Astyanax mexicanus: one gene and its partner. The protein of the gene in region 2 binds, or shares a complex with, the protein of the main gene of each other region. Links are inferred from orthologs where the notes say so. Each region holds a gene or a part of one and is shown on either strand. Other genes may lie near its edges. The genes, in order: rbm8a and casc3.

Region 1 (9,563 bases), on a different chromosome or scaffold from region 2:
TTAATACTTTGAGGCAAAATCTACAACAAGCTGGAAGAGAAATGTGGCTCCCTGAGGTAGTGTAGTGGGTTCCTACTGCCTTCCCCAGAGGTTTGATTTCTTATTCTACACCAAGTCCTTGGGTGGATATAACTCTCTTAGGTTTAGTGTCACTCAATCAAACTTTATTTTTACTTGGGTATTGTCCATTTTTCATGCAGCTGAGCATTTATAACTTAAATAAAAATAAATAAATAAATAAATATCAAAATCAAATATTTAAGTATTTCAAGTGCGTCAGTAAAACACAGTAGATGTGGAAATACACCCAATGCATCTTCAATACCTTAAGTAAAAGAAAGCCTCTGTTTGTTCTTATAAAATACTGCCACTTAGTGGTCGCCTGAACACATTATTCCCAACAAATCCCTCTAGTAAGAAGACAAACCCATGGATTCACAGCTTTACACTTAGGGAGGCCAAACTTGGTTTCCAAACCAAGGCAGATTACTGTGTTTTGTAGTTTCTCTGTATTCTTTTTTTTTTTTTTTTTTTTAGTATCAGTTTTAGTAACGTATGACTAGTGTTAGCTCTAGGGAAAGTAAGGAAAAGATAGCTTAATAACAATTATAGTATGTCTAAACAGAAGGTGTACATTAAGTAAATATAGTGAAAAGTAGCTGATTGTTTCTTAATGCTGTTTTTTCATGACCAATAGAAATGAAGCAAACTGGCTTAAAATACAATTTCTTACATAGATTTTCCATGAAATGTAAAGGATTTCTTAATTCCAGTAAATCTAAAATTTTACAGATTTTTGGGAGTGTTTATCTGACATGGACAATGTTCATAGCAAAATTGCGTTGATGTGAAGTATATCGCCTAATTTGTGTGGCACGCAAATATAGAAATTGTTTGAAGGTGGAATGCTGCAGACTTGCCTTAAGGTAACCCGTTCTTCTGTCCAAGTTGAGATGCAGGTTCTTGATTTCTCCAAATTCAGAAAATTTGTCATGGATATCTTCTTCCGTTGCCTCCTCATGAACGCCAGTCACAAACAGGATCCATCCTTCAACAGCTGAAAATACAGCGTGAACAAAAATAATAGAATGATGCTTTTCTTTAATTGCGTAAAACACTCAATTTACTGAAATATGGGGTAAATCAGACTGGCTTCAAGCTCCACACACTTTAAACCACCTCAATCACATTCTTTTAACATTTTCATTCATTTAGGTAGTTTAGAGTCCACTACATTTAGTGTAAAAGGGGGAAAAGTGTGCAAACATTTTTCGCATAATATAATATAATATACTGGAAAGAATATGACTTGTGTAAATGTACATTTCATTTTATGAGGTTGTAAACTGCTTGATTAATTTATAAGAATATCTTTAGTGAGGAACATTAATACTTAAAACATGTTGGAAAACATTTATAACATTATAAAATCACTTTGATGGTGCTGAGGTTTGCAGCCCTATTAGGTGGTTAGAGAGGGGTAACAGTATTAAAGACTAATACCAGTATTAAGAACAATTAACATCATGCCAATTCTTTCCAATATCCAATCTGATAACTCACATCTTTGTGGGCCAGGCTCATCACCATCTTGTTCCACTGTATCATAGTCTTCTCTCACTCGGGACCTCGCTCCTTCCTCTGGTGTTAAAACACAAATATTTAGTTACAGAGTACAGTCAAAAGAAATATATTAGTGTTATAACCATAAAGAGAGAAAACTTTTTATTTTGCACAAAAATCAATATTACTTACCAGATCCAAATCCACGACCCTTCCTCTTCTTTGCCTTCTCCTTTAGCTTGTGGATGCTCTCTGCAAAAAAAAATAAAATACACAGATGTATTCCACTATAAATAACGCATTTGATCAGCACCATTTTAGGTAGAGTTTTTTGCCTCTAGGCAAAGAGAATACATGAAGCTGGAGCTAATGGACAACTACAGAATATTTCCATTCCACCTTAAATAGTGATGCTGATACAGAAGAACATCAATTAACAAAAAAAAAAAAAAAAAAAAAAAAACTTTGCTTCCAAGCAAACTCTAACAATAACTGCAGTCATTACTGGAACTCTCGCCAATACACTCAGACAATACTGAGAGCAGAAGCTAGCGGATTGATCTCATTCCACCTTAAACAGTGCAGCTAATTTAATGTGGAACTAGAGTGCAATAAATAGACAAATATTTATGTCCCCAAGCAAACTCAATAGGTTAGCTAAATCTAGTCATTAGACTAGCTAGCTAATACGCTCAGACAATACAAGAAGCTGAAGCAAGAAGCTACTGGATTTATTTAATTTCACCTTAAATAGCGCAGCTGCTGCAGCACCAATTAGAGTGGAACTAAACAATGCAATACAAAGGCAAGCTTCGTCTACTAATACACTCTAACAATATAGGATCTACTGAATAACCCCTGCATATTTTCCATTCTACCTTAAATAGTTTGGCTGATAGCACCATTTAAGGTGGAACTAAACACTAGAATAAACAGAAGTTTGTTTTTTCTAGGCAAAGTAGGTAAATTACAAATTTACGGTATAAAAAACACGGGAATACAGGCTGGAGCTACGGGACAGGTACTGAATATCTTCATTCCACCTTAAATAGTGCAGCCGCTGTAGCACCCTTGAAGGTAGAACTAAACACTGGAGTAAACAGAAAAGCTTGGTCTCCTAATATATTTAGAAATAAAGAACGCTGGAGCTACTGGACAACGACTAGGTATGTTCCATTCCACCTTAAATAGTTTGGCTTCATAACAGCATTTAAGGTGGAAGGATTTTTTTTGTCTCAAAGCAAAATAAGTAGGCATTACTGGAACACTAAAAGAGTGAATATGACGCTGGAGCTTCCGGACAACTACTGACTATTTCCATTCCACCTTAAACAGCGCGGCTATTCAGCATCATTTAAGGTGGAACTAAACAAGCGTTTTGTCTCTAGTAAGTGTGTGAGTGTTCGTTACTGGAACACTAATAGAGAAAATATAGAAAGCTGGAGGAACTACTGGACAACTACTGAATATTTCCATTCCACCTTAAACAGCGCGGCTATTCAGCATCATTTAAGGTGGAACTACACAAACTTTTTGTCTCTATTAAGTGTGTGAGTGTTCGTTACTGGAAGACTAACAGAGAAAATACAGAAAGCTGGAGCTACTGGAAAACTACTGAATATTTTCTTAAATACCTCAACTAAATAACGCAGACTAATAGGAAACCCCGACATAAGATAAAGATAATAAGCTAAACTGAGAGTAAACGGGTTAAACCGGGTCTGTTTGTTCGGGTTTAGCTCGTGCTAGTCGCGGCGAGGGCGGGCGGACCAGGCCTCAACCGAGCTTTACCGCTCAGTCCGGACAAAATAACAGAAACTACCCGCCCGCACAGCTACAGAACAGCTACAGTACACCACACACGGTTTAAACAGCGGGTTAAACCCGCAGTAAAGACGCACCATCACCATCCTCATCCATAGGAAAGTCTTCTCCTCCCGCTTCATGAAGATCCAGCACGTCCGCCATGATGCCTGTTCGTGTGAGCAGTGATGCGCATGCGCAGTGCGCTCTTCTCTATGCGCGCCGGTGACGCAGTTAAAGCGAGAAAGGAGAGGCGAACCCGGGCAGCGCCGCCTACCGGCTTCCAGCAGGTACAGCCGCCTCTGGAAAAAACTATTAAAAATAGCTGGATTAAAATAATTATTAAAAATTATTTCATTCAGTTCACAAAGTTTCTTCCTTACTAAACTACCTACCTATAAAATGATCATTTTTTACAGACAAGCTTTGTTAAATTGTATATTTTCTTGTCATTTTTGGATTGAAGTAATGATAATCCCATTATAGACCAATACATTTTGTTTATTTGTGATTACCTCTTATTTAACCGCAAATTCAAAAAATAATAGATTTGATTATAATTTTACATAATACTATACTATATACATATGATGAAATTTGCTAACCAAAAAAAAAGTATACCAAACATTTGTATATATACGGAACTAAATAACTATATAGATGTATTTTAGTAAATTTGCGACAGATTAAAAATAAGAAATTACATAGAATTCCATTTCAATTTAAAAACTTTTCAAATTTATTTGCATTCTATAGTTTTTTGGTTTTGATTTTATTTTAGTTTATATTATATAATATGTGATAATGTCCTACAATTGTTTCCATCAGACTTTGATTGACTGCCTTAAGTGCAAGTAAGTCAATTAAAAAGACAAGCTTTAGTTTAAAGTTTAAATCATCAACCTTTAAATATGTGATGCAACAAAAAATTATGTCAATTCATTTCACACTTCTTTGCTATCAGGGTACAGTTTTATCAGTTCAACCAATTGAAAAAAAATCTGGAGTCTTACTCATGCAAATATTATTAAAACATAATAACAAAAGAGCTGCCTTATAACATTATTAAGGTGCTACCAATTAAATGCTATTTTGAGCTTTGTATACATTTTTTCATATGGGTGATGCTGTTATATTTTTAAGGAGCTACTGAAACCATTGAGCACTTGTTTTGTTTATTGTGAATTTCCCTATTCTTTTTGGGTTGATCATTTTCTGGCTAGCACTGCTGGAGCAGCATTAGCATTAGCTGCTAACCACAGCGCTAGCTCTTTCTCCGTTTAGAGGCGAGTATATCAGACTGTAGCCTGCACGTTTACCGTGTTAGAACAAGCAACATGGGACAGACTGTTAGCTAATATCGCCCCGGCTTACAGGAAATCTCAGGGTTCCTCAGTGTAGCATTGTCTGGTGGAATTAGCCGCTAACTGCTAGTGGTTAGCCGTTATTGCTAATGCTCCAGCTTTAGAGGAAATCTGGAAATCTAGGCTTACTGTTAATAAATAGAAGCACTTTACTCACCCAAATAAACAGTTTTCAGGAAAGAAATCTCTGTAGATGAACATCCAGCACTCGTTTGCTTGTCTGACTAGTCTAAAATGCTTTTTTTAAGAATTACATTTTAGTTTACTTAGCATAGCTTTACCTGCTGAATGTAGAAGGAAAACATGACGATATCCCTGTTTCTACTAGTTACTAGTTAGTAGTGTCTTTATGTATGGAAATAGATGTTTACTGGACATTTATTGAAAGTGCACCCTATAATCCGGTGCGCCCTATAGTGCAAAAAATAAGGCACACGAGATAGAAACTGCAAGAAAAATACCTTTATCGCTTATCTTTGTTTATATAGATCTCACAAACACATATAACACAGGTCAGTGCAGGACCCAAGTAACATTTATATTTATATATAAATATATAAATATATATTTACAGTAGCTACCCTGCTACTATGTGTCTGCATACAATAAAATTCCCCTCATCGTGATCTAATAATCTTAAATAGCAGCCTGTATCCTATACGTATATGGTCTATATATGGCCACCCTTGCTTCAGTTGCATTCAGTTCACTGTTTCCTCTAACCCCACTCTGTCTCTCTCGCTTGCTGCGTTGCTAAGCAAGTTTTTTTTTTTCAGATTTTGCCCCAATTATCTCCTCAATGTTAGTTTCAATACTTCGGCTCATGCTGGGAGCTGGAGTGCTCAAATCGCCCAGAAGAAGGTCATTTTAGAAAATGCGCTGCCTCCCATCGGGCCAATTGACTGAGCCATTGAACTGGGATTGGCTTTGATGACGCCACTGGAAGGAGCACAAGTGCTGTTTTTAAATGTGAATTCGGCCATTCTGCCGGCCTCTATGGGGGTTCACACATGACAGAAAAAGGCAGAAAGAAAGAGAAAAACAGGGCTGCCCAGGCCTCTGACATCTCCGCAGCTCAGTAGTGCAATATGTACAATACAACAACCATCACAACGACAGGGCTTTCACAACATCTTAGGCAGCACAGTTGAGGAAAAGTGAGCGTAACAACAAATGTGGCACCAAAAAACGAAGGACTAGGACAGATTTTGATTATACTGAACACCTGCTTTTTTACCTGCTAAAATTAAAACAGCACTTCACTTTTTAACATTTCTATTCTCTATCTGCCTGTTCTTAATGTGTATTCAGTGTCTCCAGACTATAATATATATTTGCATCATGAAATTAGTCTCAAACAATAACTGTTTAAGGGCCATTCCACTAAATGGGTGCCATTTGCTTGTTGTAACTCTTCCAAATGAAAACCACTCCTGTTACTTAAACTCAGTCCTGTTACTGGCACTCACTCCTGTTATTTTTTGTTATGAGTAACAGGACTAAAAGTAACAGGAAATCATAGCATTACCGTTGACAGCCCTAGTAACTACGCGTCATGTGACACAGACAGCAGCAGCTGTCTTTGTGGTTTAAACATGTGGAGCGACGAAGAGCCACAAACACACAAATGTAGAAGTATAAACACCCACAGGTTATGCCATAGACCAGGAGTGTCCAAACTATGGCCTGTGGGCCATTTTTGGCCCGTTTCCTTTTTTGGAGTGGCCCGCAAGATATTTTGAAAATAAACTGAAAGTAGGCCCGCTATTAAGCAGGTTTTTATAATGTGAGATTCAAAGTTTGAACGCTGGGTGTTGCTATCACATAAACTCAATCTAAAACGCTCCTCACCTCCTTTTCTCACTTCATTATATCTACAATATTGTTCCTGAGCTTTTGGGAGAACATGGCAGCTCCAAAGAAATGGAAAATAGACAGCAAATGCAGAAAATTTCAGGCACGTTGGGAAAATGACTGTTTTTTAACTGAGCTCAGAGGGAGGTGTGTATGTTTAATATGTCAGGAATCAGTAATAGACATTATGAAATGAAACATCGATTTGAAAATCTTAGTTTACACAACACTCTCAATGACAGGTAAAGATAGTAACTCAAGTAAAATAATGTGTAAATGATAGTTATCAAGAAAATGTATTATTATAAGTGGTATATTTCATTATTTGTTTTATTACAGAGTCTGTGGCCCGTGACTGCACATTTATTTTTCCTTCTGGCCCCCAAGAAAAAAAAATTGGACACCCCTGCCATAGACAGTGTGATGACTTCACAGAGAAGTATAAACCAGAATTTAGGAATTAAGTGATTGAGACTATTTGCGTTATATAAAGCAGAAGAGTTGTAGTCAAACTGTTGCGTAACTTGCTAGTTAATCACACTATTATTAATAATGTGCTGTTATTGATCTATTAGCTGTGCAAACTTTCCAATGTAGCATTTCTTTGCAACTTTTGCACATACTATACATAAAACATATGATGCCGTTGTTTTGCATTGTTATTAGCCACGTAGGATTCCCCTGAGGATGAAAAAAAAAGTGAGGCTAAGTGATGAAGACGAGGACTTGTTGAAACTGGTATTAAAACAGGCAGCAGTTTTGTCTACAGTAATCTACGTTACAGCAGATAAATTAGATTAAGTATTAATTAATGCAGAATTTGCACATTGTACTGTATTTATTGTCTATTGTGCTCTACTTGTCTGTCCACCTTATCATATATTTTGTCTTTTGCTCTTACAAAACAACGGCAGTGGGTAAACTTACAAAATCAGCAAGGGATCAAATTATTATTATTTTTTCACTGTATATTTATAATACACAATGGACATCTATGCTTATATAGCAAAATGTGGTACCACTTTAAAATAACACTACCTTTATAAAGGGGTTAAGAATGGTCTATAAAGGAGATTATTAATGGTTATTAATTAGGCTACAAACTTTAAAACTCATTAATAAGCAGTTAATAAATAAATAACAGTACTAAGTTAAAAAAATGGCAAACACTCATTTCTACTGTCAAACCTCATATATTTCTAGATACTGATCTTACTTTGTGTTTTCCATCAATCAGCATTAAACTTGTCATATTATATATTATATATTTGTAAGTATGTTTAACTATTTACTATAAATGAAATGACTCAGTTAAGTCAAATGACTAAACAAACAAAGGATCACTGTTGCCTTTTTAATTAATGTGTTGTAACTGCTTATCAAAGGTTTTAAGGCATTCACAACCTAATCAACAATACTTAAAAATCTAATTTATAAACCCTTTATAAACCCTTTATAAGGGTAGTCTTATTTTAAAACCACTTTAAAATAAGACTACCCTTATAAAGGGTTTATAAAGGGTTTATAAATTAGATTTTTAAGTATTGTTGAAAAAATATTAATTAAAAATGAAATAAATGTATATATGTAAATGAGTTTGATACCCCTTACCAAATCAGACTGAGTATGAGCAGGTAAAATACTGTATCCTCTAACAGACAAAAAAACCAAGATACAGGTCAGTGTGTGGTCATGACCTTTTATCAAACTGAAAGTGGACTTCAGCTGAACGTTAGTCAGCGTGTATCACCAGCACGACCTGCAGATAAAGCCAATCAGCGGCTGATATAACCACAGTCGTGTTGGCAAGACCAGACTTCGACCTGCTGAACAGTAAACTAACATGTAACTGCTGTGTAGTCACTGTGCCACAGGTTTCATCAGCACACATAATCATTATCAACGTAATTCAGCAATAAAAAGCATGTTGATAAAGTGCAGAGGGATTGAAAACAAACCAAAACGTGACAAAGAAAGAAAATACATAAATTAAAGCCAGTCAAATTAAATAAAAAAAGGTCAAAAAACTGTAACGTCATTTCACATCACATGCTGTACATGAGTTGGAACAAAACTGTATTCCCACAATCCAGTTCCACCCAAATGAGCAATTGTTAAAACAGGTAAATATAAAGATAAAGTAAAATAAAGATAAAATAATAATAAAATATTATTTTGTCCATGCCCTTTTGGAGTAATTTCAGTCAGCCGGTCACTCCTGGGAAGGTTCACCAGTGTTTCATGTTTCCTCCATTTGTGAATAATAGCTCTCACTGCGGTCTGCTGGAGTCCCAAAGCTTTAGAAATGACTTGTAAACCTTTTAAACAGTTGCAATTAATGTAATGTTTGGGATTTTGTTTGCTTATTTTACCAGGAGTGTACTTAGTGTACAAATTAATAAGTAAATATAACTTAAAAAAAAAAACGGATCTTAAGCTATTAATGTAATACTAACTGTTTTAGTCTTTAATTTAGGCATTTTCTTTCTCAGATGTTTTTATATTATATTAAAATATTTATAATGAAGTTAGATTTTTTTCAACATATTGTTTAAGAATATCAGCCAGAAAATATAGATATTGGGATACCATGATTTTTATTAAAAGCAGTCTATGTTGTATGTGTTTTGCTATTTGCTGCATTTACTTTTTTTATTAATTAATTTTTCATTATGCTACACTAATAATATTTCATACAAAGTATAGGGTATATACTACTTTGTTTATATTTACACAAATATTTCACACATTTCACATATTAGTACATAGTTTGGGCTAGTTTGGTTTGGACAGTTTTAGTTTTAGTTCCTTTAATAAATAAAATCACCAGCTTTATTTACACTGAAAGGTGCCTGCACCACAATGCATGTTTTAAAAATACTTTTTTTTTTAGCATGCTTAAGGCTTAACTACACACTCTTACTAAAAACTTACAGACTGTCACATTAAATATAAATATCTACAATAGATATTATGATT
Region 2 (9,542 bases):
TCAGAATGGATGTGGATGTGGTGCTTCAAGCACGCTGCTCTCCCTCGCTGAGCCACCCTTAACGACAGCAGTGGGTGTAGGTAGCTCAGCAACTGCTACTCGCCATGACTATGCGCTCCACCGTGTTTACAAGTGGACGAAACACGCTGGACACAGACTTGACTGACCAACGCAAAAAACAAGTGGCAGCCACTGAATCTCAGAGTCTTGTAAAGAAGCAAGGCTGTGAGCATCCTGTCAGAGTTCCTGCCGTCCTGAGCACCATCCACAACAGTAGTGAACAGCATCTCCACAGCAAAGTGAAGACCTTCACAAGCAGTCACAGCACAGCAGGCAGACCTGGCCAGTCTCTGGCAGTGAGGAAAGGGCAAGAGGAGAACTGGGTGAACCTGGAGGATTTGATAGTTCCTCTGGCCAAGCAGATGGGGGCCGAGGGTACCCCAGTAAAAAGCAAATCACTGTTTGGACAGGCCAGTCACAACCACTTGGGCAGGATGGATCCAGTGGCATCAAACGGCAGCAAGCAGCCACGAAAGGCAGGGCCAGTGGGGGGAGTTGCAATAGCAGGAGTCCCCTCACCTGAACATGGCCCTGATGCAAAAAGCAGAAATATGATGAAGGGCATCGGCCATGCTGCCACACAGACTAGCTGCTTTCGTCAGATTCTTCTGTTGCAGCTAGAGCTGATTGAACAGCAACAGCAGCAGCTGCAGAATAAAAACAAAGAGATAGATGACCTCAAAGCTGAAAAGGAAATGGTAAGCAGAGGTTATTTGTCTATTGTGTACTAAACAAATTGTCTTTAGTATATTGAGACAGACACTACGCCACCTTCCCAACTGTGATACATTAATACATACCTGCTTGATCTTTGTATTTGGAGTCTAGATTTTATACAGTTTTATTTTCCTTCACACTTTTATGAGATTAAGTAAGTGGCTTAGGGCTGATAACTTGATTAAACGCACACAAATTAAGAGGAAGCATTTCTTTAATCAATTGTCATGTTTTGTACTTAAAAAAACAAACAAACTATGGCAAAGGCATCCTTCCACTGCTCTGGGCTATGCACACTTATTTATTAATTTCATTAATATAGTTGACTGCTCGCATTGAGCGAATGGAGCGGCGGCTACAGATGGTGAAGAAAGAAGGATCTGAGAATCGGCCGTCTCAGACTCCACGTCGCAAGGAAGTTGTTGAGGCCATCTCACCAGAAAGCACAGGGCAACCTGAGGGGCAGAGCCTGACACCTAGACCTATGACTTTAGGAAGGGGTGGCAAGGGCCTGAAAAGGTATTCAACATTTTATACGTAAAGCTTTAAATGTTTTTGTTTAAAAACATACTGCTTACTTATTTGTTGATTTGGCATGCATGAAAAATCAAACACAAACATGACTAAACTTTCTTTTGCTTTTTTAGAAGATTCCTTTTTCAAGAATCCGGGATGGCCAGGTCCAGACGAGGTCAGCCCAAAATGCCTTCTCCAAAGGAAGGCCAAGCTTTGAAGGAGGAGGCTCAAGAAGAAGAAAGTCCCGAATTTAAGTCACATGGTTCCTCCATTGTCCAATCAGAAGAACTGCCTTACCTGGCTACGACAGAAATGTATCTGTGCTGTTGGCACCAGCCGCCACCCTCACCTTGGAGAGAGCCATCTCCTGTGCAGGACGACACAGTTGCTGGTAAGTTTTGTCAGTTGTGCAAGCACTTTCAGTACCAATAGCCCACACACTTTTAGCACCAATAGCTCAAACTCTCTAGCTCATACATGGCATTAGGAACAGGGTCAAAAGTTTTGTGTTTATCTGCTTCAGAGATTCCTATTCTATTGGCAGTATATCTGTGCATGGACTATTTGCACATGTCAACAATGGGTGAAATTTAAAATAGCTGAATGTATTAATTACAAGGGGTGTCCACAAATATTTGTATATGTAATGTTTGTAGCGCTAAAGTTCTTTCAAATGTCAACAATGGTAACTTGTATCTAGAGAACAACAAAACTTTTAAACTAAATGTTGGTGATCTGGATTATTGACACTTTATACCTTCCTTTCCATTTTAGTCCCGTCTTGGCGAGAGAGCATTTTGGAACCCATGGAGGAGAAAAAAGCAACAGATATCCCTGAGGTCAGTAACAATTCAAAGAAAAGAGATTGATATGTTACACCATCTCCTGAAATGTATTACAGTGGCCTTTATTAGGAAAAAATACAAATGTAGTTTATCTATGTATGAAATCTTAAATCTGCACCCTAGAGTGACTTTATTATTTTATTCAGAGTCTAGATGACGGTGTCTTTTTGAAGCGGCATTCAAAACTGGAGTTGGATGAAAAGAGAAGGAAAAGGTAGAACTGATTAATATCCCTGCGGTTTCTTTGAACGGACTGCTTCTCTGTTTCTTTTCACAAGTCCCTAATTTCCTGTCTGTCTCAGGTGGGATATTCAGCGTATTAGGGAGCAGAGGATGTTCCAGAGACTCCAGCAGAGGATGGATAAGCGAAAAGTGATTCAGGAAAGTGAGCCAGAGCTACTTTCCTTCTACCCTGAAGCAGAGGATGGTATGTCACTAAAGTTTCAACAGTTAAACATAGAAAATTGGTGCATTTTTACCAAAATGTTCTTTTTTTTTTTTTGTTTCAGTGGAATCAATAATGATTACACCATACCTGCCAGTGGTGGCATTTGGCAGACCCCTGCCTAATCTTCAACAGCAGTACGTTTACTCATATTTCACATTTGTAACACAAGATTTCTTTCTTTTTTTTCTTCAAAATTTGTCCTATGTATGGTCTGTTCTGGAATCCTCTGCTTAAAATCATTCTCTTCATTTTTTCTTTGTACAGGAGTTTTGACATACCATGGCTGGATGAGCGCAGTCGCTGCCGACAAGAACTGTCCAAAAAGAAGACGCCCCATCGGACCTGCCGCAAGTGAAGCAGTCCTACAGGCGAAAAAAGACAGCGGCGCAGCCCACATGTTCCTTCTAAAGGAAATGCTGCTTCAGCTCTACTGTTTCGTGGCATGTCCTGTGTGCTACAAGATCATATTGGCAATATGCACTCACCTGGCATACCTGACTGCCTTGATTGCACTTTTGATCTTTAAGCAGACCAAGTCCATTTTTCTCCTCTGTTAAGTCTTCATTTGGTGATGGAACCACTTAACAGTCTAACTCCACAGTGGCAGAAAACCAAGCTTTCAGAAGTTCATGCTCATGGTTGTTTTAATATTGCAAAGTATAATGCTTGTGCCCTGGTTGCTTTTGCATCATCTCATACAAGTTTGCTTTCAGATGTACAGTATGGACCAAAACTCCCATCATATTGAGCTGAGAACAGAGAATGTCAAGATTTGTTGTTTTTGGTTTGCATTTCTGTTCATTGTAAGTGGATGGTATGAATCTAAGAAAACATGGCCTATCTTGTAAAATAGTGTTGATTCAAAGTATAAGTGTAAGATACTCTAAATGCATCTAAAGAGAATATTTCAAATATTAAAGAAGTTCACAATTTATTTGTTACTGTGTTTTTTTTTTGTTTGTGTTATCCACTCTAGTTTACTGTTTGTGTTACATTAGGTTGGAAAATACTTATGTAGTTAATCTAATTTTTTTTTTTTTTGCACTTAACTCAGTCATTGCACGTCATAAACAACAGCAATGGTAAGACTGAAAATGAGAAATAGTGTAGTAATCCAAAACATCCATTCAGACTCTTGAAAAAATGATTTGGACTGTATGGGGGTAATTTCATGAAAATTGGACATGGCTGTTTGAATGTAATCTGACAGACCTGTTTAGTTGTGCTTCCTTAATTTGAAATATAGATTCCAGCCTAAAGACCAAGGAAGTGTTGCCAATCTTCAGAAATCTTTCATGTGTGTGGATGATCATTACCCTGCTGAAAAATGCAAATGCAAAGACAAATATACATTTTTTTGGCTCCATAATTTGGCCTAGGGTAGAGACGTGGCTCTATTAGCGAAATGTAATTTAAACCAAAAGCTTGTGGATACAGCAGTACTACCTAAATGTGTTAGAATTATGCCGTTTTGCCAAATATTTATGGATTTCAACAAAACCTTGCACCACCTCTACAACCAACTGATGCTCTCAGGATGTTCAGTATATTTCACTTGGAACTTTATGACTTAAAATAAAGGACAGAGTGCTGTAAGGAACTTTGCACATGTTTTAAAGGGTCTGTGACATACTTCACCATGGGCTTTTTTGGGTTAATTAATCTCCACATATTTGGTATTTTATACCACACGTTCATAATTTTTGTCGACATAATTTAGGTCTTTGGAACAATGGCAATATGACAGTAAAAAAATATATATGTTATTTCTGTGCCCTTAAAAAGATTGTGATATTTATTATGTTGCTTATCTGTTGGATGATTCTGGGCATTTACTTTCTTTCCTATGAACTTAGTTTACCTTCTTATGGAGATTTAATAAAAAAAAATGGTCTTTTCTTATAAAACATAAAGAGTATAATGTTGTAGCTAAAGCTATTACTAAATGTTTATTAATGATGATGGAATCTCATATGCAATTTTACACCGTCTCCAAGTTTAAACCATTTGCTTTATATTAATGTTCGAGACTTCAAAAGTGAAACACAGTATTAGGGAAGGATTCTACAACAAAAGAAAAATTAGGCCACAAGGGATATCATATTGGAACTCTCATTTTACAGAGATCTCTTGGGGGAAAGCTTCATCACTACTTTATAAGTTTTGTATTTATAATAAAATCAGAGAATCAAGTACATTTAGAATTCACGTACATCTACCTATGTAATTATAATATTGCTACATTTATCAAAACAGTTAATTTTGCTCCAAACATACAAAAAAACTAGAACATTTATTTTTTTAATGTTCTTATTCAAAATATTTTTAGAAAGCTCTAGCCTTTTTTTGATAAGCAAATTAGAGGGTAGATATAAAATGTGACTGCTATTTTTGGTTTTATCTGTAAGGTCTCTACTGTCAACTTAACTTTAAATCTGATGATCCTCTTTGGCAAACACTCTAATATTTGGTTGGACCACCTGCTTTTGCTGTGGCATTTTTTCTTTAAGCTTCTGCAATGTCACAAGATTTATTTCAATCCAGTGTTGCATTAATTTTTAATCAAGATCTTGCAGCACTGATGGTAGAGTCTGACCACTGCACAAAGCCTTCTCCATCCAGCACATCCCAAAGATGCTCAATGGAGTTAAGGTCTGGACTCTGTGGTGGCCAATCCATGTGTAAAAATGATGATCTCATGCTCCCTGAATCACTCTTTCACAATTCCAGCCTCATGAATCCAGCCATTCTCATCTTGGAATATGCTCGTGCCATCAGGTAAGAAAAAATCCAGTGATGGAATAAGGTAGTCAGCTGACCTCATTCTTTCAGCACATACTGTTGCTGAAACCTAGACCTGACCAACTGCAGCATCAACCCCACATCATTTCCTTAGTTAAATCCAGGTGAAGATTTTTTTTTGCCAGTTAGTGTATTTCTTGATGGATTTAACTTGTTTATTAGCAGCAATAAAGCTGTGTCCACTGTAAATTACACTAAAGAGTTTAATTTGCCGGTTTATGAATGAGATGTGTTGTCAGTATAAATGTTTTGTTTAGCTTGAAAAACCTTTTTGGTTGTATGTTTAAATTACCTTGGATGTCTTTGTTTGTATTATATTGCTTTTGGAATTTAATAAAAGTATTTAAGCTCTATTTAAATGACTATGTTTCATTTATGAAGTTTCCTCAGCCCTGTTGCTTGGTAATAATGGGTGTAGAGGAAGTGACGCACTTCTTAACTCCCACATTGCCTTGCGCCTTTCCGCTCTCCCCTTCCTTGTGAGTTAAGATGGCGGACCGGCGACGACGAAGGCGGCGCGCTTCTCAGGACAGCGAAGAGGAGGAGGAGGAGGCTTCGGGCTCAGACAGCACCGGCTCCGCCTCACAAGCGGCCAAGACCCGGCCGAGGGTCCCGGAGCCTGTCGAGGCCCCGGCGGTTCGCAGCGCCCCAAAAAGCGATGTCGAGTCGGAGTGTGTAAGTATTGGCCGTCCAGCGGGGCTTCAGCGGCGGGCCGAGGGTCCGGCAGGGACTCAGCTAGCGGTCCGGCGGGGGGAGGGAGATAGGGGTTAATAGGAGAGGAATCGCGGGTTTTTTTTGGGAGGGACGGGTAGAGTCTGTAGAGTGTAGCGTTAGTGTGTAGTCTCTTTTTTTGGCTCACTGTTTTATTAGTCAACTCTGGTCAGAGGGACAGAGCAGGGTAGCTACATAACCCGCCAACACCTCCGGGATGGTGATGGTGATAGTTCTAGTGATGGTAATGGTGATTGTAACGGGAATGCATACATACGTGCTGTCCGTTAACCCTCTACTTCAGTTGTTCTCAAACATTGGTAACTAACATGAAGCACACCAAGGTGGTACACCACCAAATAAAGGTTTTAATGAATCAAAAACAAAAGATTATACAGCAAAATGCATGTGGGTACCACGTGATGTCCAAATGTCTAGCTCTTAAGAATTTGCCTGGTTTCATTGGAGACAATGACATGTTGTCACTATCATCTCATAAAAACATCTCATAATTTTCATGAAGAGAAATGTGATGAAAGTAATTTTGAAGCGTTTCTTTTATAATTTGGAGTTTACCTTTTAATAGCATTAGTGTTTCATGTCAACATCGATATAACACATTGCGTTATTTGTGAACATCGTTTACATGCTTACGAAGTTTTAGGTGGTACTTTGGGTTTGGCTTTGGTGGTACATGATCTAAAATGTTTGAGAAGCACTGCTCTAGCAAAAAAAAGGAAAAAAACAACATAATTTTTGTTATTAGTAGATTTTGTTGTGACAATGCTTCTTGGCAAGCCTGTTCATTTCCCTTAAAATTGTCACATTTGTAAGGAACATGCATTTCCAGGATGAGCAGCAGAGCTCAGCAGAGTATGTGGGTTGCCTTCATGAAAATTTTGTCAAATCTCCATCATTGCCAAACAGCGTATTCTGCTGTTACTACTGTTTCCTGTTTTCAGCTTCTGGTTCCCCCAGGTGTTGCCTTGGCATGAGCATGGGCCCTGGTACAGTGGTCAGTATATGTGTGCCTCAAGATTTGACATTCCTCAATTGACTAATCTGGATAGAAGGCCGAGAGGTAGCTTCACTTCAAGCTGGTGTGCTGCAAAGCCAAGTTACGGCATTATTCTGAGTGAGCCCTAGTACTGATATCTCCAAATTAAAGGCCACATTCCATATAGCTGACACTAAGTGGGCATCACAAGATGATCACACAGAAAGAAGATAGTCAACACCAAACGAGTCAATGGCACAATAAGCTGTTTGGCATTGGCATTGAGCATTTAGCATTTTCGTGAACACAACACACATTCTCTGCTCTGCTGCTCATCACACTAATGCATGTTTCTTAAAAATGTGGCACCATTTTAAAAGAGAAATAACAGGCTTTCCAACAGTATGGGACTTATTGCCAAGTCAGCAAAGAAATCGTCTACCAAACATGTATTTCCTTATTTTTTGTGCTACTTTTATTTGGTACTTGCACAGTAAATTATCGTTTCAGAATTGTCATTGATATCTAAGCATGGGCAAAGATGCGTCACATTGTTGATAATGTTTTTACAGCTTACTGCATTCAGTGTATGGATTTTACAAGACATTTGAAAGTGTCCTGTGTTTGCGATTAGGCACCAAGAACAACTTTAGCAGTAGGTCCTTTAAATCTTGTAAGTTAGGTAAAGTAAAGGGTGAGTGAGGTGGTGCCTCCATGAGCATCACTGAGCCGTAGGAGTACCTGACCATGTTGCTGATTCATTGGTTGGCCTGTTTTGTACTACAAAAGACCCGCCTGATGTTGTGGAGATATTATGGGCTGTCGTTTATTAGGCAGCAAACATTGGATTATTGATGATTTACACTCAATTTATCTCCATTTATCTCCATCAGTATAAGTTATTTTGCTTCAGTCTTTAATACACACAGAAGGCATTAGTAATATTATGACATTGGACCACTTTTAATACTGCAGTATTAATTACAGAGCAAGAAAACATCACTGTCAGTTTTTCTTAATATTGCTTCTTGAGTCACAATGAGGAGGCATTGACACATTTTCTGATTAAAGTGTGTGTAAGAAATTGGTGTGCTTTCTGCTTACAAGGAAAGTTACACAAAGTTATGTGTAGATGATCAAGTCTGGTTGGTAAGGCTTTGATATCTCTAGACATGGGATTTTTAGTTTTTTTTTGTGTCTTGGCTACACACAAAGCCCCCAGACAACATGCTTTTGTTGTCTGAGGTAACCGAACTGGGAACCAGCAAGTTTTTGTATATAGGTTTCATGGTGGGGCCTCACATATGGATGCCCAGTATGGTTTAGTATAGGATCAGGGGGAGTTAACCATCAATTTATTCTGAGTTGTACACTCACATGGGGCCTGGGCACATAAAGGAAGCCCAATGCATGGACAAACAAATTTTGTCCACCTGGAAGCCACCTAGCATATGACCTACGCATGTTAGCCCAGTATCAACATGTTGCCAGGTTTAAAAGCCATATTTTTTTTCACTTTCTGTTTGGGTGGATTACTAAATGGATGTGTGTTTCCTTTGTGAACCTTATCAGGTGACAGAGGTTTGGCTTATAGAATAAGGAACTTGATGTTTTTGTTTATACAGTTTTAAAGAGAAAGGAATTAAGTGGTTTCACAAACACTGTACAGCTCTGACCACCAACCACAAGTCTGACTTTAACTATATTTTTTTGTTCCTTTGTAGGAAAGTGAAGATGGTGGTGTAGGTGAAGGTGAGTTTCTCTTTGTGCTTTTACTTAAAAGTACTGACACTAATGATGGGCTTTATCATACACGGTTCCTATGTGATTGATGTAGATCACTGATTCACCACTTTTTTCGTTTTTGTTCTTGCAGCTGTCCTTTCAGACTACGACAGTGCGGATCCTGAGGAGAATGGTTCTCACTCAGAGGTGAGTCACCATAGCAACACAGACTGGAGGACTGGTGAGAAAATCTGTCCCCAAACTGGCTCCAGTACATGATGGATGCTGTGCATTAAGTGTTCGTTGGTTGCGGCTTATTGGTGTACATTTGAGTAGCTTGTTTTGGTTATGTTGCCTTTTGTCCAATTGTGTTGTTTATGGCAAGAAGTTTTAAAGAAGTTATCTCTGTTCAGTATTTAGTAGGGTTGGAAGCTGAGCTGATGTTCACTTGCTGTTTATATTAGTAATGAGTTGGAGCCAATAGGAATGTCTGTATCAAAGGCTACGTTCACATTACACCTCTTGTTTAATCATTTTAGATTGTTTTTCTCAGTTAGTGTTCGGTTTATTTGATGATCTACATTTATAAGTAGTTTGTAAGTGTAAATGACCTAAAGTGAGCAAATCTGTGCCTGAAGTAGGATGTACACATAAAATTATAAAGCACTTTTACAACAGCTTTACAGAAATGTTAGCAGGACAGAGAATCAGTCAAAACATT

The links.
Region 1: casc3 (region 2) and rbm8a share a complex: the UniProt entries of both Homo sapiens proteins name them as parts of the mRNA splicing-dependent exon junction complex. The link is inferred for Astyanax mexicanus from reciprocal best matches to the Homo sapiens genes CASC3 and RBM8A.

What each region holds. Positions count from the first base shown.
Region 1 is NC_064408.1:115,218,628-115,228,190, reverse strand, and holds the start of rbm8a (RNA-binding protein 8A), read right to left. Parts: upstream 3,586-9,563; 5' UTR 3,532-3,585; coding exon 3,465-3,531; intron 1,816-3,464; coding exon 1,756-1,815; intron 1,642-1,755; coding exon 1,564-1,641; intron 1,058-1,563; coding exon 921-1,057; intron 1-920.
Region 2 is NC_064426.1:33,096,068-33,105,609, reverse strand, and holds the start of casc3 (protein CASC3), read left to right. Parts: upstream 1-5,855; 5' UTR 5,856-5,877; coding exon 5,878-6,063; intron 6,064-8,820; coding exon 8,821-8,848; intron 8,849-8,972; coding exon 8,973-9,028; intron 9,029-9,542. Other genes in the region: msl1a (male-specific lethal 1-like 1), read left to right, coding at 105-758, 1,100-1,296, 1,425-1,684, 2,068-2,132, 2,285-2,352, 2,441-2,565, 2,648-2,720, 2,851-2,941. UniProt on the Homo sapiens protein: Required for pre-mRNA splicing as component of the spliceosome. Core component of the splicing-dependent multiprotein exon junction complex (EJC) deposited at splice junctions on mRNAs.